4 linked regions of the Cricetulus griseus genome follow. The protein of the gene in region 1 purifies or fractionates together with the protein of each later gene. This does not show direct contact. Links are inferred from orthologs where the notes say so. Each region holds a gene or a part of one and is shown on either strand. Other genes may lie near its edges.

What was found. Proteins that work in one complex are often made in the same cells at the same time.
Region 2: the proteins of Ss18 (region 1) and Smarcd2 purify together in Homo sapiens (affinity purification with mass spectrometry; 4 studies listed by BioGRID and IntAct, counting the BioPlex papers as one, with this or other methods). This does not show direct contact. The link is inferred for Cricetulus griseus from reciprocal best matches to the Homo sapiens genes SS18 and SMARCD2.
Region 3: the proteins of Ss18 (region 1) and Dpf2 purify together in Homo sapiens (affinity purification with mass spectrometry; 4 studies listed by BioGRID and IntAct, counting the BioPlex papers as one, with this or other methods). This does not show direct contact. The link is inferred for Cricetulus griseus from reciprocal best matches to the Homo sapiens genes SS18 and DPF2.
Region 4: the proteins of Ss18 (region 1) and Bcl7c purify together in Homo sapiens (affinity purification with mass spectrometry; 3 studies listed by BioGRID and IntAct, counting the BioPlex papers as one, with this or other methods). This does not show direct contact. The link is inferred for Cricetulus griseus from reciprocal best matches to the Homo sapiens genes SS18 and BCL7C.

Annotation. Positions count from the first base shown.
Region 1 is NC_048595.1:221,683,990-221,689,002, forward strand, and holds the start of Ss18 (protein SSXT), read left to right. Parts: upstream 1-1,628; 5' UTR 1,629-1,717; coding exon 1,718-1,786; intron 1,787-5,013. UniProt on the Homo sapiens protein: Appears to function synergistically with RBM14 as a transcriptional coactivator. Isoform 1 and isoform 2 function in nuclear receptor coactivation. Isoform 1 and isoform 2 function in general transcriptional coactivation.
Region 2 is NC_048600.1:119,211,331-119,215,913, forward strand, and holds part of Smarcd2 (SWI/SNF-related matrix-associated actin-dependent regulator of chromatin subfamily D member 2), read right to left. Parts: intron 3,205-4,583; coding exon 3,049-3,204; intron 2,649-3,048; coding exon 2,553-2,648; intron 2,421-2,552; coding exon 2,319-2,420; intron 2,050-2,318; coding exon 1,888-2,049; intron 1,730-1,887; coding exon 1,632-1,729; intron 1,504-1,631; coding exon 1,368-1,503; intron 1,215-1,367; coding exon 1,092-1,214; intron 963-1,091; coding exon 861-962; intron 779-860; coding exon 725-778; 3' UTR 1-724. UniProt on the Homo sapiens protein: Involved in transcriptional activation and repression of select genes by chromatin remodeling (alteration of DNA-nucleosome topology).
Region 3 is NC_048596.1:53,441,353-53,445,455, forward strand, and holds part of Dpf2 (zinc finger protein ubi-d4), read left to right. Parts: intron 1-55; coding exon 56-193; intron 194-497; coding exon 498-626; intron 627-763; coding exon 764-876; intron 877-2,059; coding exon 2,060-2,141; intron 2,142-4,103. UniProt on the Homo sapiens protein: Plays an active role in transcriptional regulation by binding modified histones H3 and H4. Is a negative regulator of myeloid differentiation of hematopoietic progenitor cells. Might also have a role in the development and maturation of lymphoid cells.
Region 4 is NC_048596.1:73,095,815-73,100,397, reverse strand, and holds part of Bcl7c (B-cell CLL/lymphoma 7 protein family member C), read right to left. Parts: intron 1,187-4,583; coding exon 989-1,186; 3' UTR 1-988. UniProt on the Homo sapiens protein: May play an anti-apoptotic role.

The DNA of each region.
Region 1 (5,013 bases):
GTGTGTGTGTGTGTGTGTGTGTGTGTGTGTGTGTGTGTGATGTTTTACACGCACAGGGTGTGTGTTGGGGGAACACACATGAAGGTCTGAATAAAACTTGCTGGAGTTGCTTCTCTCCTTCCACCACAGTTTGTACTCAGCATGCTAGGCCTGGCCACAAGCACCTTTAGCTGCTGAGCCATCTTGAAATCCTAATCTTTTGCTCTTTAGATTTCTTCTCTTTCTCTCTCTCTCTCTCTCTCTCTCTCTCTATATTATATATAATATATTATATATATATATAATATATATATATATATATTCCTCCCTCCCTCCCTTTCCAAAATGGAGTTCTCTGAGGAGCTTTTTTTTTTTTTTTAATTTACTTAACTTTTATTTTGTGTGCATTGAATTGGTGTCAATGCCCTGGAACTGGAGTTAGTTGTGTACTTGGAATTGAACCCTGGTCCTCTGCAAGAGCAGCCAGTGCTCTTAACAGCTAAGCTATCTCTCCAGCCCTTTCTGTAGATCTCTTTAAATAAAACCGGGTTTCCACCTTCAATCACACCAACAGCCCTGTAGTTCTGTCCTTGTTTGCTAATTGTTAAACGTTACACACACACACACACACTTTGTTTCTGTTGTCTTTTCTATAACAGAGTAATATCCTTGAGAGATTCCTGTCCAGTTGTTCATTTCTACCACCAGCACTTCCAAACAGCAGGATTGGTACTCAGAATCGTTGGATGAATTAAACTCACCTGCGAAAATTTGAAATAGCCTTTAAAAATGCGTTTTCCCATTTTATTAACAATTTAGGCACTATTTTTGGAGCATCACTGAGTAATAACACAGCATATTAACCTTCCTTTTGTGTGATTGGGAAGTCTAAGTTTGAAGAATTAATCCGTAGCAACGGGTTCCTGTATTAATTTGCAGCTGTTGGTTTTATTTCCCTCATACTGACTTGAAGCCTGGCAGCTTGGGCCTAATTAACAAGCACTAAGTATTTCACTGGAAAAGAGGTTGCCTTTTCACAGCTTCCTTTGAAGGGCCCTAAGTCAGATCAAGTGGATCCACAAGTGTGGGAAGGGACTATCCCTAGGTAAGCTGAGGGTCGGGTTCCTTTCAACTGTTCGGCGAGACTTGGCGAGCTACTCCGAGGTGCGCACGTGGAGCGCAGGGAGCCATTTAAACCAGCGAATCCGCGTTCTCGGTGCTGAGCCGGCAGACGCTTCTGGGTCCCAGTTGTCCCTTTTCCCTCTCGGCGGCAGCCCGGGAGACCCAGGACGGCCGCTCTTCCCCAGAGGGTCGCGGGCGCAGTTGGGGACAGTTTGGCGGGCGGGCCCCGCGTTTCCTGTGACAGCGCGGCCGGGCGGCTCCCTCCCGCCGCGGCGGGACCATTTCCTGAGCGTCCGGGCGGAGGCGGTCGGCGCGGCGCTACCATCAGAGCGCGGATGCGGGGGTGCAGCCCGACAGCGTGCGAGGACAGACAGCCGAGCGGGGGGCGACCGGGCGCGGGGCTCCAGCCGTCCTGGCAGCGAGTAACTTTCCAGACGCCTGGCTGGGAGCGGCAGCTCCGCGCACAGCCCGACGGTGTCGGCGATGGTCGCGGGCCCGGAGCGTCCTCCCCCACCGCGCGCGGTGAGGTGGACCTGCCCGGGAGGCGGGCGCCGAGCCCCCAGCTCCGTGGCCCCCGGAGCGCTCCGGACTAGCCGATCGCGGGCTCGGTGGCAACATGTCCGTGGCGTTCGCAGCCCCGAGGCAGCGGGGCAAGGGGGAGATCACGCCCGCCGCCATCCAGAAGGTGAGCTCGGAGAGGCGCCCGAGCGCGGGCCGAGGCGGGGGAGCGGCCCGGCGGTGGTGGGGGCGGGCGCCGGGAAGCCAGCGGAGCCCTTTGGCGCCTGCTCTGCCCGCACAAAAGCGCCGGCAACCGCCGCCCGGTTTCCCCGCGGGCCGGGTGGCCTCGCGCCGCGGGGTGCGTGCGTGCGCTCGGCGGGGCCGGGAGGGGAGCGGCCCGCGAGACTCCCGCGTCGCCCCGCCCCGCCGGGACCCCGCTCGCGGAAGCGGGAGCCCGGAGTGTTGCGCCGCAAACTCCTCGGAGTTGAGGCCCTCCCGGGAGAACTTGGGAACCTTCCGCAGAGGCTCGGGTCAGGCGGGGAAGGACCCAGTGGGCACGGGGATTCGCAGAGCAGCACCCGCGATCCGTCTCCCTCTGCTCCTCGTAGATGCGTCTGAGCGCGCAGGGCAGGCGCTGTGGTTCGGGAGGGCGAACCTGCTCCCCGCCGCCCCGAGTTGGCCGTCTAAGGCCGTCTACACCGACGGGCGGGCCGTTTGCATTGAGTCAGGGTAGAAGCGCTGGGAGCTGCGTCCTTAGAGGAGAGTGCCACCCCAGTCGCCGCCCTGGGACTGCCAACTGGGGACACAAAGGTTCTTTATTATCCCCCGAGCCTGAGTCTAAGAGCAAGGCACTGTTCTCGTTCTCAGCTTGGTAGACTTTGAAAAGTCGCTTGTTAAGTTTAACAGTTTGCCTGGAGTATTTCCATCTTGTTCCCTGCCCCGGAGCAAGGTTTAGGAGAGAAAGTCAACTCGTAGTACCAATCAGGACACCCTTGAAAACTTGTGGGTTAATGGCCACTGGGTTCTGTTTACTGTCAGGGTCTTGGTAGTGTGGCGTTTGACATTTGCCCAACTGTTGCTTTATTTTCTTTGAAGAAACCCTCCTGGCAGTGCCTGGAAACGCAGTTGTTTTCTCTAGTGGTAGCCTGCTGAACAGTCTCCTTACACACGTGCAGGAAGTGTTTCTGTAGAGATTGGCGCTTTCTTTTTGAACTCTAGAAAGTGTCGTTTTCTTTTTTCTCGGTAGAGTTTTTCCTTATGTGTCTTATTAGGTATTTATCGCGAGTGGTCTAGAAGGTGCTAACTTGTTATTTTTCATTCTCAGATGAGAAGTGAAAAAATGGACTAAAACTTTAGTGTGTGTGTGTGTGTGTGTGTGTGTGTGTGTGTGTGTGTGTGTGTGTGATGTGCATCAGATTGTTTGGAACCGGAGTTAACAGCCAGTTTTGAGTCGCATTGTGGGTACTGGGAACCAAACTTCAGCAAGAGTATTTAGTGCTCTTGTCCTCCCTCTGGGCCATCTCTCCAGTTCTCAAAACTGTATTTCAGCTTAAGTTTTGTTTGCAGTGTCAGACATTGGTATTAGATGGGAGACAGACAGATGGTTGGGGTGGTTTAATGTGTCATGCTTTCCTTGGTTTGAGTATTGAACTGATGGCACTCAGGAGGCAGAGGCTGATGGATCTCTGGATTTGAGGCCAGCCAGGTCTACTTAATGAGTTCCAGGACAGCCAGAGAAACCCTGTCTCAAAAAGAAAAAAAAATATTCTTGGTATCTAGTGATCATATTTATGAAGCACACCTTAGAGAAGTGTTTGCCCTTAGTAATGGAAGATTATGATAAATGTGCAGGAAATATCAATTAATAGCAATTGATCTTTGTTTTTAACTGTAAATCACATTGAATGATTGAGATGGTGGTTTTGGTGTTGTCGTCTGATTATTCATGAAATCATGAAAGGTGGGTTCAGGATCAGCAGTACCCTGATCTTAAAGCTCCTACAAACTTAGGTGGCGTGCTAGAGACAGCATGCTGGCACTAAAACAGTCTTCTGTGGGTTTCTTTGTTAGGCACCATTGGTAGAGGTGAATTATTTAACCCTCAGAGCCACGGTTGCTTAGATTATTACCATGATAAGATGATAATTTATGTATCTTATAGGTTTTGTTTTGTTTCGTTTTTTTTTGAGACAGGGTTTCTCTGTGTAACAGAGCTAGTTGTCCTTGAATACCTCTGTAGATCAGGCTGGTCTGGAACTCACAGAGATCGGCCTGCCTCTGCCTCTGCTTCTGCCTCTGCCTCTGCCTTCTGACCACTGGGATTAAAGGCATGTACTACCACTGCCTAGTGTATCTTATGTTTTTTAGACTTTCTGAGATACCTTATTTTATATTATAAACTCAAATTCTATTAAATATAATAAATGTATAGAGAACACTGTTATGTGTTGTTTTGGAGAATCACAAATTATACAGTTAGAAAAGAAGTTACTTCAAGTCCCTAGGCAGCTGTATTGATGTGTGTATTTCAGTCTGGGTAAGGACAGATTTTTTTCCCTTCATCCTACAAAGCATTAGAATGCTCCAGAACCAATTGGGACTCAACTTTCAGCTAGTGGAAATTGTAGTTACAGATAGCATAGGTAATTAAATGTTTTTGTATTCAAAAACAAAAACATGGGCCTGGAGGATGGCTCATTGTGGTTCAAGGAGAGAACCAATGCCACAGAGTTGTCCTCTGATCTCACATGCACCTGGTGGGCACTCAGGGGTGTGTGTGTGTGTGTGTGAGAGAGAGAGAGAGAGAGAGAGAGAGAGAGAGAGAGAGAGAGAGAGAGAGAGAGAGAGAGAGAGAGAGAGAGGAGAGAGAGGAGAGAGAGAGAGAGAGGGAGGGAGAGAGAGAGAGAGAGAGAGAGAGAGAGAGAGAGAGAGAGAGAGAGAGAGAGAATGAACACACACTAATGCTAAAAAAAAAATAAGTGAAAAGGAAAAGGGACAATAAGTTTCCCTTCTGGGTTTCAAGAAGAAGAGTAATTGAAATAGGTATTAAACATAACTGATTAAATGTGATACCATTTCAAATATACAAAGTAAAGGATTTTTTGTGTCTCAAGTTATAATCTGTGTATTAACAGAAGACCCCAGTAGGTTCCATTTCCATGTAGATGTGACATTTCTAGAAAAATCCAAATTACAAAAAATCAGTTGTTGTAGAATTATCTATATGAATCATGTATAGCATATTTTATAAGTGATTTGTACATTTTAACAGTAATGAAAAACTTTAACTAAGTTAATTCAATCTCATGAGTTCTTATTACTATGAATGTTAAAATATTTTGTAGCAGAAGGTAGAAACAAATAGAAAGTAATCCTAAGGGGGTGTTGTTTTCCATGTTCACTTGAATGATTTGC
Region 2 (4,583 bases), on another chromosome or scaffold:
GGTTAGAGAACTGGTACATTCCCTCCCTCTGGGAGACTCCACCTCCCCCCACCCAAGCAGCTGGGGGTGGGCAGCCCCATGGCATCCCAGGAGATGATGGCGGCTGCAGCCGCTTGCATAGATCAAAAAAAGAAAATAAGGAAGGAGGCACCAAGTAGGGCTCCCTGAAAAACCCCAGTTACCTCTGTACAAAAAAGTGACTCCCACATAGAAAAACCTGCTCCCTAAATAGTGCAAATACCCAAAGAAAAGGACAAACCAGCAGCAAGGCTGGGCTTGTAGGAATGGCAAAGAACTTTGGTTGAGAAAGGCCAGGAAGAGTCCAGGCTGGGCCTCCTCTTCCTTGCCCAGCTCCCCAAAACCAGCTGACACTGGCCCTAGGGTGGAGCCTGTAAACATGCAAACCCAGCAGCCTTTGGTTCAGAAATGTCTGTTACGAAATTAAAGCACAACCTCCAGCAGTCCGTGGGCCTGCCTGCAGGGGGCTGAGGCGGCACCTTAGAGCCCGATTAAAGCCAATGCTAAAAGGTAAGTAATAAGGCTTTGGGGACCAAGCAATAAGGAATCCTAACACTACATTTATGAAACTAGCTGGGGAGTAGAGGGTGATAGGAGACACACCTCACTCCATCCTACATGGAGGTCTGCAGCCCCAGCCAAAACCAAGAGGATGGTCTCCCGCCAGGTTCCGGGGCTGGGAAGGAAGGAAGCAATCCCTGAGCAGTTAGGTCAGGCGAATTCCCAGCACCTGTTCCAGTTCCTGCCTTCGCTGCTGCACCTGGAGAAGAGAAAGCATGGCTCAGGCTTCAGCTTCTCAAGAAAAGGAGGCAAAAAAAAAAAAAAAACTGGCAGAGCCTCACCTTGGCAAAGATGTGCCTCCCAACTGCTTCCTGAGCCCAGGGCTGGTGGTAGAAAGCAGCTCGTCTCTCCTCCTCAGGGTTCCCAATCACATCCGTGATGATCTGTAAAGGGCAAGGGGTAAGGTGTGGCATAATTCCCACCTCTGAGCCAGTCTGCTCTGGGACTGGAATAGTACTTGGGGTAAAAGTCACCCAGTGAGACCACCTTCAAAACAAGAGGACTGACTATACCTTGAGGTCTCGGCGTTGGGAACGGAGCCATTCCTGAATGAAGTCCTGGGGGTCAGTGCTAAAGCTAAGCATGAAATCCCTCTGGGTCTTCAGCTGGTTGATGGACTCAATAGTCTCGTGGATCTGGAGAAGGGTGCAAGTGTCATGAGTGCTCCAGTCTGGGAGTCTCTTCTTATATCTAGGTCCAGAGGTCCTATCCTAAATGTGCTGTGTGGAAATGACAAGAGCCGCTGACCCTCACTCTGGCTTCAGTTGCTGTGGAGACAAAGGACTCACCTTGACATCAAGAGAGGCAATCTCCTGCTGGTTGGTGGTAGAGGCCAGAAAGTTGCTCATCTGGGCCTTCAGTGGGTCATCCACCTCCACATCAATGTCATAGCAGGCTGTCTTCTTCTGGTCATTCGGGTCCACACTGCAGGCAGCAAAGGAAGGAAGCAGAAACATGGCTGTGCACATCCCAACCACCAAGCCTGCTCTATGAGTAAAGTTCTGCGGTGAGTCCTGTTTCCAAAGAGCCATCCCATTCCTTTTCCTGTTTACCTAATGACATGATTGATAACAATGGGGTCTGGATGCTGCAACAATCCAGCCAGCTTCATGGGAATCTCAGAGAAACGGAGTCGGCCACAACTGAAGATCTAGAAAGAGCATCCAAGGCATGCTGATGCCTGAGGGAACCGGGGAATAGACTTCTCCAGGGCCAACAGACGCAGTCAAAAGACTGAGTACTTGCCCACTAGGCTTCCAAAGCAGATGAGCCAGGGGCTGAGGGAACAAGAAGGTAGTACCAGCTGACCTGGCGGAAGTAGCGATTGCAATTGATGTACTCCCGCTCATGCCCGTCCTGCAGCTGGTTGTGTTTGATGTAAAGCCACAGCGCCTGCATGATGGCAGCCCTCGTCTGTGTGTGCACTCCCAGCAACCGTGCCAGCCGGGGGTCCAGTTTATACTGAGGCGGCTGGAATGGACAGAGGAGTAAAGAAAGGCTCTTGTGCAGAGACAGAACAGGAAGGAGTCAGAGCAGTGGCTCTCAAACTTCCTAAAGCTGGAACTCTATTTAATACAGTTCCTTTTCGTTGCTACTTCACACTATAACTTTGCTACTGTTACGAGTTCTAATGGAAGTATCTGTTTTCCGATGGTCTTAGGTAACACTGAGTTACAGGCATCTGCTCCCCTTCCCTGCATGAATCCGCATGGCCCCACATGACCCTGGGCATCTGTCACCTGGTGATCCAGCATGAGCAGGAGGGTGCACTTGACATTGAGATCTCCTGGTCGTTTGACCTGGAAGCCATCTGTTTCTTGGGTGGTGGGCATCCGATGCCACTGTCGGAGAAAAGGGGAGCAGAGTTTATCCCTAACGGATAGGTACAGCACTCAATCAGCACACTGGTACCCGAGTTTACGCTCTGTATCCCCTGGCAGCTTGTCCCTCCCAGGCTCTAGGACCATTCTCACCTCCACCAGGTGGTTGTCAGGCCCATACAGCTCCTTGTCCAGCTCAATGACAAGGCTCTTAAAGAAAGATGAAAACTTCCTCTTCTGTTTGCTAGGCTGGGAATGGAAAGAGCTGTAAGATGGGTGTGCTGCTGAATTCATTGGAGCAGCGATTCAGTCCTGGAGCTCAAGGCACAGTCTTGGGCCCTGAAGTAGCAAAGTTTGTCAAAGGGCAGGAAAAGGGCTCCTCTCCATTGACCCAAGTGAGTGAGGGAATCCAAGACTCGACTGCCATCCATAGGAGCGTTGTAATAACTCCAGATGCCCATCCTCAGTCTCTCACGGAGCACTTGCCTAATGTGTGTGAGGTCCAGGGTTTGATCCCCAGCATAGAAACAACCCCCCCACCACCAATTCTAACCTCACCCTTTCCCTATCCTAGGACTGAGTGCTCATGTCTGTCCACAGTCTAAATTTATACACCCCTCCCCTCCCAATACCTCTTTCTCCAACTCACATCATCCAGAAGTTTGCCTTCCACTCGAAGCTCCCAGGAAGCCACCTTGTCTGCTGCTGGAGTTCCCCCAGGGGTTCCTGCAGTTCCTGCGTTATCGCCGTCTGTCTTGCTGGGGCTGAATGTATTGGAAATATAGATCCGAAGTTTTCGCTTTTGCTGAAGAGGAAGAGCAATGGGCTTGAGATGACAGACGTGTTGGAAGCCCTACCATATCTTCTTAGAAGTAATAACCCGCTGGTAGTAGTAGTGCTGGCCCCCTTGGGGGAAGGAGGGGCTGCACTGGTTGATTACTGACGAGGCCAATACCACAGCTATATACAACATGATACTAGGCAAATCAGAAGCCTCTGGAGCTAAGGGCATGGCTTAATGATATAGCAATATATGAGGTTAACATATATGAGGTTGTAGGTTCTAAACCCCCCACCCCCATTTAAACACCCACTATAGTCCTTCAATACCTTAGTCTCCTAGAAAGTCTCTACCATTCAGGGGACTGCTCTAGATAATTAACAGAGAAGGAAAGAAAAGAAAGCTTCTTTAGGGATGGGGTGTGAAAAGGTAACTACTCAGTCTACTCTCTGGCAGCTCTCAAATTTCTGACCATAAGCTGTGAGATTTACCTTCTGGGTCATAGGAGCCACATACGTATAGACATAGGTAGACGCGCGTGCCTACATGCGCAGGCGAAACAGTTCTCATACAGTGCTCTTGCTGCTGCAGTGCGTGCTTCACTAGTGCTAGTAGGCTATGTTTGGGACACAGTAGGCTGGGCACGATGGTAAAGGCTTGTGATCACAAGGGAGGACCGCTTGGTGCTCTCCCTGCCGTGAGGAGCCCTGCCCTAGCCTAGGCAGAGAGCCCTGCCCTAGCACCCCCGAGCAAGGCCGCCCGTCAGGGAGGGCAGTCTGGGGAAGCGTGTACCGTCAGGGAGCCCTGCTCACCCCCGAGCAAGGCCGCCCGTCAGGGAGGGCAGTCTGGGGAGGCGTGTACCGTCAGGGAGCCCTGCTCACCCCCGAGCAAGACCGCCCGTCAGGGAGGGCAGTCTGGGGAAGCGTGTACCGTCAGGGAGCCCTGCCCTAGCACCCCCGAGCAAGGCCGCCTGTCAGGGAGGGCAGTCTGGGGAGGCGTGTACCGTCAGGGAGCCCTGCTCACCCCTGAGCAAGGCCGCCCGTCAGGCAGGGAGGGCAGTCTGGGGAGGCGTGTACCGTCAGGGAGCCCTGCTCACCCCCGAGCAAGGCCGCCCGTCAGGGAGGGAGGGCAGTCTGGGGAGGCGTGTACCGTCAGGGAGCCCTGCCCTAGCACCCCCGAGCAAGGCCGCCCGTCAGGGAGGGAGGGCAGTCTGGGGAGGCGTGTACCGTCAGGGAGCCCTGCTCACCCCCGAGCAAGGCCGCCCGTCAGGGAGGGAGGGCAGTCTGGGGAGGCGTGTACCGTCAGGGAGCCCTGCCCTAGCACCCCCGAGCAGGGCCGCCCGTCAGGGAGGGCAGTCTGGGGAGGCGTGTACCGTCAGGCAGGGAGGGCAGTCTGGGGAGGCG
Region 3 (4,103 bases), on another chromosome or scaffold:
TGGGTGAGTAGCACCTTCGTGTCCTAACATTTCTCTGCAATCTTCTTCCACCCAGTTTGTGGAAAACGCTACAAGAATCGACCTGGCCTCAGTTACCACTATGCCCATTCCCACCTGGCTGAGGAGGAGGGAGAGGACAAAGAAGACTCTCAACCACCTACTCCTGTTTCCCAGAGGTCTGAGGAGCAGAAATGTAAGCTGAGGTGTCAGGATGAGCAAACAGGAGAGGAGCCAGCCTGGTTATAAAAACCCTCTTTGGGGAGGAGCTTGATTCTGCCCCAACTTAATGTACCAAACTATGTTGAGTCCAAATGAGAGCCCTTACCTGTTGGGGGTGGGGAGTGGGCTGGGAGGGGAGGCGAGGGGAGCAGGAGGAGGGAGGGGAGGAAGAACTTTGGTTGGAATGTAAAATGAAATTTAAAAAAATACTTAAAATAAAAGTCCTCCTTGTAGGGAATGTGGGGCATCATCAAAATTCCTTTCTTTTTTTCCTGTAGCCAAGAAAGGACCTGATGGATTAGCCCTGCCCAACAACTACTGTGACTTCTGCCTGGGAGACTCAAAAATCAACAAGAAGACAGGGCAGCCTGAGGAGCTAGTGTCCTGTTCTGACTGTGGCCGCTCAGGTACTTCCATTCTCAAAGAGCAGGCTGCACTCAGTGCCCAGGACACTCTTGGCCTGGTTACTTCAGTGCTGTCAGGCAGCCTCCCATCCCCATTCCCCACGGGTTTCCAGCCCCCGTTTGACTCGCCTCCCCCACAGGGCACCCGTCCTGCCTGCAGTTCACCCCCGTGATGATGGCGGCTGTGAAGACCTACCGCTGGCAGTGCATCGAGTGCAAGTGCTGCAACCTCTGCGGCACTTCGGAGAATGACGTGCGTGCGCCCTCTCAGCCTGCCTGGCTCTCCCCTCAGCTCCCCCAAAGCAAGCTTTCTGTCAGCACAAGCAAGGGCCTCCCTCCTTCCACGCCCCTCCTTAGCCTCCCCTGGGGAACTTTACACTTGTTTAAAAAAATCTGTTTCTTGAGCACCAGCAGTCGGTGTTTTTGGCTCTCAGGTCACTAAGTAAGACAGAGAAGACCATGCTTTCATCAAATTTGTGTACTTGGGTAACAGAGTTTTGTATGATATACCTTGATGAGCCAAAGAGTTAACTGGTCTACAAAGCAAGTTCCAAGACAGGCTCCAAAGCTACACAGTGAGACCCTGTCTCAAAAAACAAACAAAAAAAAAGAGTTAACTTGATACTGATAGAGGTTTCTAGTTAGATTTGCTTTTGGAGGAAATGAAGTTGGTGTTGGAGTTTTGATAACACAAAGAGCCAGTCCAAAAAGGTACAAAATGAGTGTATTTCCAAAGAGGTATAGCCAGTGCAGAGACCTTGAGATTGGCAAGCCCGCTGTAACAAGGCCATTGCTACCCACTAGATCTTTCATGTGGGGGAAGGTGAATCGGAGAGGTGGATGTTGTTTGATCTATGGGTCTTGAGTCCTTTTGTGAGCAGTGAGGAATCCTGGAGATTGACCCCAGGACCTGGTGAACACTAGGCATGAGCTTTGCTGCTAAGCTCCACCCCTGTGCTTGGACCTTGGGGATGTTGACAGAGGCCATTTATTTGGGGGTGGTTGTTGTGTGATATGTTCTGTCTCATATTTTCAGAAGGTAACTGGCAGCTTTGTAGAGAAGAGATTGTAGGGAAATAGTAGGCTTTGTGATCAGTTAGAATCTGGATAGGTTGAGATGGGCAGGTCTTACTTCTTTATTTTAATTACTTAACTTCATGTGCATTGTTGTTTTGCCTGCATGTATGTCTGTGTAAGGGTATCAGGTCTCATGGAACTGGAGTTACAGACAGTTGTGAGCTGCCATGTGGGTGCTGGGAATTAAACCCAGGGCCTCTGGAAGAACAGTCAGTGTTCTTCACTGCTGTGCCATCTTTCCAGCCCCTCTACATCTCTTCTTAGCAGCTACTAGTCCCTCATAAAAGTAGCAGCAGTGTCACAACTTGGGTACATAAGCCTTTGGATCCTTGTTCTTTCTTTCTCCTTACCTTCTGCAGGACCAGCTGCTCTTCTGTGATGACTGTGACCGTGGCTACCACATGTACTGTCTCACCCCATCCATGTCGGAGCCTCCTGAAGGTAAGTGGCCCACCCAAAATACTTTATCCCAGAAGGATCCATAACACCCAAGTAAAACATGACTTGTTATAGGTCTTAATTGTGTGGTTTCAGCATTTTTTGATTTCTTAAGACAGGGTTTCTCTGTATAACAGCCCTGACTGCCCTGAAACTCACTTTGTAGACCAGGTTGACCTTGAACTCACAGAGATCCGCCTGTATCTGCCTCCCAAGTGCTGGGATCAAAGGCATGCATCACCACTGCCTGGCCCAGAATTTTTTTTTCTTTAAAGACTTTATTATGTATACAACATTCTGCTTCCATGTACATCTGCACACCAGAAGAAGGCACCAGATCTTATAATGGATGGTTGTGAGCCACCATGTGGTTGCTGGGAATTGAACTCAGGACCTCTGGAAGAGCAGTCAGTGCTCTTAACCGCTGAGCCATCTCTCCAGCCCCCAGAATTTTAATTTAAAGAACTTAATGTTTGCAAGCTGTCTTCCTTTGTATAGTCCAGAAATTCAGTTGGAGCTTATCTAACATGATATTTCTTTTGTCGCTCTCCTACTCTGATGGATTGTTTCTTTCCTCTCTTCCCCATTCGGGAGGGAGTTGACCCTGGAGCTTGGGGTATTTTTTTGCATCTCTTGTGGTTCACTTAGTAATGCTCCAAGTTCATGGAAGTGCTACACCAACACCAATGGTGACATCAAGGAGTGGTTCTTTTCCACAAGTCCCTTCCAACTGTGTTTCTGTGCCTAGCTCCTTCCTCTAAGGTAGTAGTTCTCAGCCTGTGGGTCTCAATCCCCATAGGGATCACATATTGGATATCCTGCATATCGGATATTTATGTTACAGTTCGCCAAGCGATGATGGCACACGCCTTTAATTCCAGTACTCGGGAGGCAGAGGCAGGTGGATCTCTGTGAGTTTGAGACCAGCCTGGTCTACAAGAGCTAGTTCCAGGACAGCCTCCAAATCACAGAGAAACCTGTCTCGGAAAAAAAGAAAAGACAACAGATATTTATGTTACAATTCATAATAGTAGCAAAATTAACAGTTATGAAGTAGCAATGGAATTTTATGTTTGGGGGATCACTACAACATGAGGAGCTGTATTAAAGGGTCTCAGCATTAGGAAGGTTGTGAACCACTGCAAGAGACTCAAAGCTTGTCCAGGAGGGCCTAAGTACCTAGTAGCTCTGCTGTGCACAGACAGGAGCCAGCCTTCAAGTGGGAGTAGTTTACTGTTTCCAGAAGCTGACTGGTAATGTAGGTCAGACTGCAGAAAATGAGGCCACTAGCAAAACTGGTGAGTACTTTAACAATTGCAGGACCACACAGTGCTACTGAATGCCACATCCATCTCCAAATCAGCTTGAAGAAAGTAGTCCTTGTGTTTTGTTTAATGACCAAATAGCACCTTATAGACAGAACTTGCATTGATGGCCCAAGGGCTTTCCCATTGATATTTTGTGAGACACTGGGTAGTGGAGAGTTGCAGGCCAAGTATTTCCTCACTGGAACATCAGGAGGTCGTCTTCTTTAGGTCATGGTTGGCATGGCATGCCTTATGGGCCATATCTAGCTGTGTCAGTTTACATAGCTTGCAAATCAACAGTGACTTTTACATTTAAATCATGGTTTTTTTTGTTTTGTTTTGTCTTGGTTTTTTGTCTTGTTTGTTTGTTTTGATTTGGTTTTGTTTGGTTTGGTTTCGTTTGGTTTTGCAAGACAGAGTTTCTCTGTATTTTATAGTCTGTCCTGGAACTGATGTGTAGACAGGTTGGCCTCAAACTCACAGGAACATGAAGATAGGAGACTATGTGGTTCATAAGCTTAAATTTATAAATATAAATATATAACGTTCTGCTTGGCTCTTTGTTGGAACACTTGCCAACCCTAGCATATTGGCCTTAGGATTAGAAAGACTCTTTTATTCTTTTATACTTTTGGATTATCTTACTGTTTTGTTTTGC
Region 4 (4,583 bases), on another chromosome or scaffold:
CAAGCTCGTAAACATCTGGGCTATTTAGTTTCCCTATCTGTAAAATGTAAAAGTAACAGGATCTATGACACTAGAATATTGTATTAAATAATTCCCACAAATTGCAATATGTAGTAGAGTAAGCCCTCATTAAGTGGGAGACATTATTTCCTGGCACAGTGGGCCCAATACGTTGTTAAGTCAGGAGCAAGAGGTTGATGAAAGCCCTTGGAATCACACAAATGGCTCCTTTGCCATGGGTTCCTCAAAATGGGTAGTTTCCAGGTAGATTTGGCAGGCTCAGAGCTGGACCACAAGTCTCCATCCATTTCTGGACTTGGGTCCTACAGCAGGAGGTGTTGGCCTGGTCCAAAAGGTCACTAGACCATGTGTGCCTCTCGATTGACAGGCAAGGTTGGCGTATGCTTTCTTGAGCCACAGATTATTTGGCAGGCCTAACGTTCAAAGGCCCGTGGAGGGAGAGGAATCTGCCAGGTGCTTGTTGGAGTGGTATCTCTACACAAGCATGAATTTTGACACCTTTCGCAGACTCCGCAAGGTAGCACCTAGCACCTGTTGCCCAATGCTTCAGACACTGCTTGCTGCTCACCAGAGTAGATTCCATGGTTCCAGAGGCTGAAGGAGCCACCCTGGGGGCCATGCCTGGCCCTTTGGTGGATGGCTGCCCTGGTGCATGAAAAGGTGGCCGAGTTGGCCCTGCGTCTACTCTTTTGTATATTCAGGTTGTTTCTGGGCATCATCTAGCAGCGTCCTCAGACACTCCTTGTCTGTGACCTGCCCCAAGCTCCAAAGTTTTGGACCCACAGCAAGCAAGATGGATCCATGATTTAGGGTTAGGGCCAAGTGGAGGGCTGATTGCCTACCTCGAAGTCCACACAGCAGGCATCCAGCTCCAAAGCTCTCTCTACCCTTAACTGGTGCAAGTAGGTGACTGAATCTTGGGTCACTAAAGAAGACCTAAGGGCCTCACCTAGTGGGAGGGGCCCGCTCACCTCCCCTTCCCTTGTGGTATCGTCCTGGGTGCCCTCTGGGCCTTGTTCCCACCTCCCAGAGCTCTGGTGTCTGGCACCGTGGAAGTAGACCGAGCATTCGTCCGGAGGCCTCTCCTGGGAAGAAGCCTCCTGAGGGGCTCTGTTTTCAAGGCTTTCTCTTGGAGGGCTCTCCTTGTCATTCTCACTCCAGAATCCTGCAACAAGAAAAGAAAATATGGGTAGTTGCTCTTCTCCTTACCCCACACAAAGTCAGGAGGATGATAGGAGTCCTAACAGAGAGACTGTGGGATAATATTGCAAAGAGCTAGGTTCTGCGTGTGTGTACAGGTTTCTTTGTGTGTGTACAGATTGGGTGTCCTCCTCAATCACCCTACATCTTATTCTTTGAAACAGGATCTCTTGCTGAACCTGGATCTCACAGACTGGCTGATCAGTAAGACCCATAGTTCTACCTGTCTCCACCTTCTCAGCACTGATATTACAAATTTGTACTACCAATCTGGCTTAAAAAAAGAAGAAGAAGAAGAGCCAGGTGTGGTTGTGCAAACCTGCAATCCCATTACTTGGAAGGTAGAGGCAAATAGATCTCTGTGAGTTCAAGGCCAGTCTGATCTGGACAGTGAGTTCCAGAACAGCTAGGGCTACACTGAGAGACCCTGTCTCAAAAAATAAAGCAAAACACAATAACAAAAAATTACATTTATTTGTTTCATGTGCATGGAAGGGAGTAGAGGCACATGTGTGAAATAATGGTTGTCTCCTCCCACCACATGGACCCAGGGATCAAACGCAGACTCAGTTTTGGTGGCAGGCACCTTAACAGGCTCAACCATCTTGGGGACAAACATGCTTGTCCAAGTCATTTATGTGATCCATCAAACTTGTCAGGCAATCATCCTACCCACTAACCCTAAGTTCTGCACCTGACAGAAGACAGAAGCTGAAGCATAACCTGGTTAGAGACTAAAGGAGCTGTCTCTGGGATCAGACACTCTTGGTGGGCTTGACTTAGTCCCGCACCCCCTTAGCTGAAACCTGGGCAGCTGCATACATTTGTGCAGTCTCAGCTTGCTCAGCTGAGACGGAGGGAATAGGGGTGGCAACGGTGTGGAAGGTGAGTCCACAGATCTTCAGGAAGGCCTTAAAATGTTCTCCATTGGCAGCACTGGATGCCCTGTTCTTGGCCCTCTACAACACTTAGGATAGACAGACAGTATCTATCCTAAGTCTGCAGGCATCTTTAGAGGGTTGTTTCAGTTCTTTGAGACAGGAAACACAACGATGTGTCTGCAGCGTCTTCTGACACCAGCAAGCAGAAGCAGTTCAAGGATGTCTGGTGCGGTGACTCAAAGATAAAGGTGTTCATTAAATGATGTCACTGTCCAAGCTGTAACAACTTGGGAAGCTTTTAAAAAGATTACTGAGATCCAAATCCTAAAAGAACAGTCATAGCTGGGCCGTGGTGGCGCACACCTTTAATCCCAGCACTCGGGAGGCAGAGGCGGGAGGATCTCTGTGAGTTCGAGGCCAGCCTGGTCTACAGAGCGAGTGCCAGGATAGGCTCCAAAGCCACAGAGAAACCCTGTCTGGAAAAACAACAAAAATCCTTGTGGTGGTGCATGCCTTTGATCTCAGCACTCAGGAGGCAGAGACAAGAGGATCTCTGTGAGTTTGAGACCAGCCTCATCTACAATAGTGAGCTATAGAACAGCCAGAGCTACATAGAGACCCTGACTCAAAAAAAATTATAAATTAAAAAAATCTTTTCAAATTATAATAATAATGATGAGAAGAGATAATATTTAGTGGCTATGAATCACTTAGTAGTAAAGTCCAGTGTTAAGTTCACAGTGTTCCATCTGCTATATCTATTTTGTGTGTTTGAAAAAACTTTTAAGATAGGGCCTCATATATTTCAGTCTGACCATAATTTACCATGTAGCTAAGGATGGCCTTGAACTCCTGATCCTCTGGCCTCCATCTCTCAAGTGCTGGAATGAGGAGCACATACTACCACCCCTAGTTACAAAATGGCTAGCCTGCCGGGTGGTGGTGGCACACGCCTTTAATCCCAGCACTTGAGAAGCAGAGGCAGGCGGATCTCTGTGAGTTCGAGACCAGCCTGGTCTACAAGAGCTAGTTCCAGGACAGGCTCCAAAGCCACAGAGAAACCCTGTCTTGAAAAACAAAAAACAAAACAAAACAAAAGGCTAGTCTGAAACTCATAGATCTTGCTTCTGCCTTCTAGAATTAAACCACGCCCAGTTTCTAAAGCTTGTAAAATAGTTTTCGTGTGTATTTGTGTGTGTGTGTGTGTGTGTGTGTGTGTGTGTGTGTGTGTGTGTGTGTGCCGTGTATGTGTTAGTGCCTGTGGAGACCAGAGGAGGGGTAGGATTCCTTAGACCTGGATTATAGGCTTTTTTTCTTGTAGAGCAGGACTCTTAGCCACTGAGTCAACTCTCCAGTCTCACAAAACATTTTTAAAAAACATACAAAATAGGGAGTTTAGAGCACTTGTTGCTCTGCAGAGGACCTGGGGTTCAACTGCACCCACATGGCAGCTCACAGCAGTCTGTAACTCCAGTTCCAGCAGCACATCTGCTTTTCTGGTGTCTGTGTGCATCAGGCATGAACATGGTGCACACGTTATATATTCAGACAAAACATTAATACACATAGATAAATCTTTTTGAAAAAAAATCATACAAAATACGCTAGGCGTGGTAACACACACCTTTAATCTCAGCACCGGTGGTTCTGGACCAGTCAAGACCACAGAGTGAGACCCTGTTTCAAAATAACAAAACATTGTAGATCCGGGCACACCAACTGAGGAGCTGGCTAAGGTCTCTAGAGACACAACAGACTTTCTCTCTGTTCTGTGCTGGGTTTTCCTCCATATTTTCTTCTTTGGTGCCTGCCTGTACCTAAGGTGTCCTCAGCAGAGAGGTCTCTCAAGGTGTGGGGCAGGAGAGATGCCTTCATGTTGGAAGCAGCATTCTGAAGATGTTCCCCTACCCAAAGACTTCTGTCCCCTGAGGAGACAAAGCCACTATCTAGGAGCCACCATGAAGGAATTTGGAATATGTAATTCAAGTCCCATTTTAAATCCTGGCATCAAATTTCTACGTCAGGTAACACTGAGGAGCAGAGGGTCCTCTCCCTGCTGCCCAGCTTACATTGGCCAAAAGGCGCTGTGCAGGCTGCTGAGGGGTAAACACCAGGCCCGAACCCTACAATACCAACCTGCCTAGCAGTGTGTGCCCACTGACGCCATGGCTCCAGCGCTAACTAGGCACTTTCTGATTGGATGTTAGGCCTGCTCTACAAAACGGGTTTCATACTGGTCAAAAGCCCACTACTTGGGAGATCATAGGCTCTGGGGATGATTCGTTAAGTGGACTTCTGGTTATATCATACAAACCACGTTGTAAATATTTATGTTTATACCTATATATGTTTCTGTTGCTCTCTTGCTCTTAACTTTGTTCATAGAAGTTTCTTTTTATAGTAGTAGGTAATGGTTAGTGCAGAGACACATAGCTGGTCAAGAGAGCATAAGTAACTGTGTGAGCACTTGGCTGAGAATAA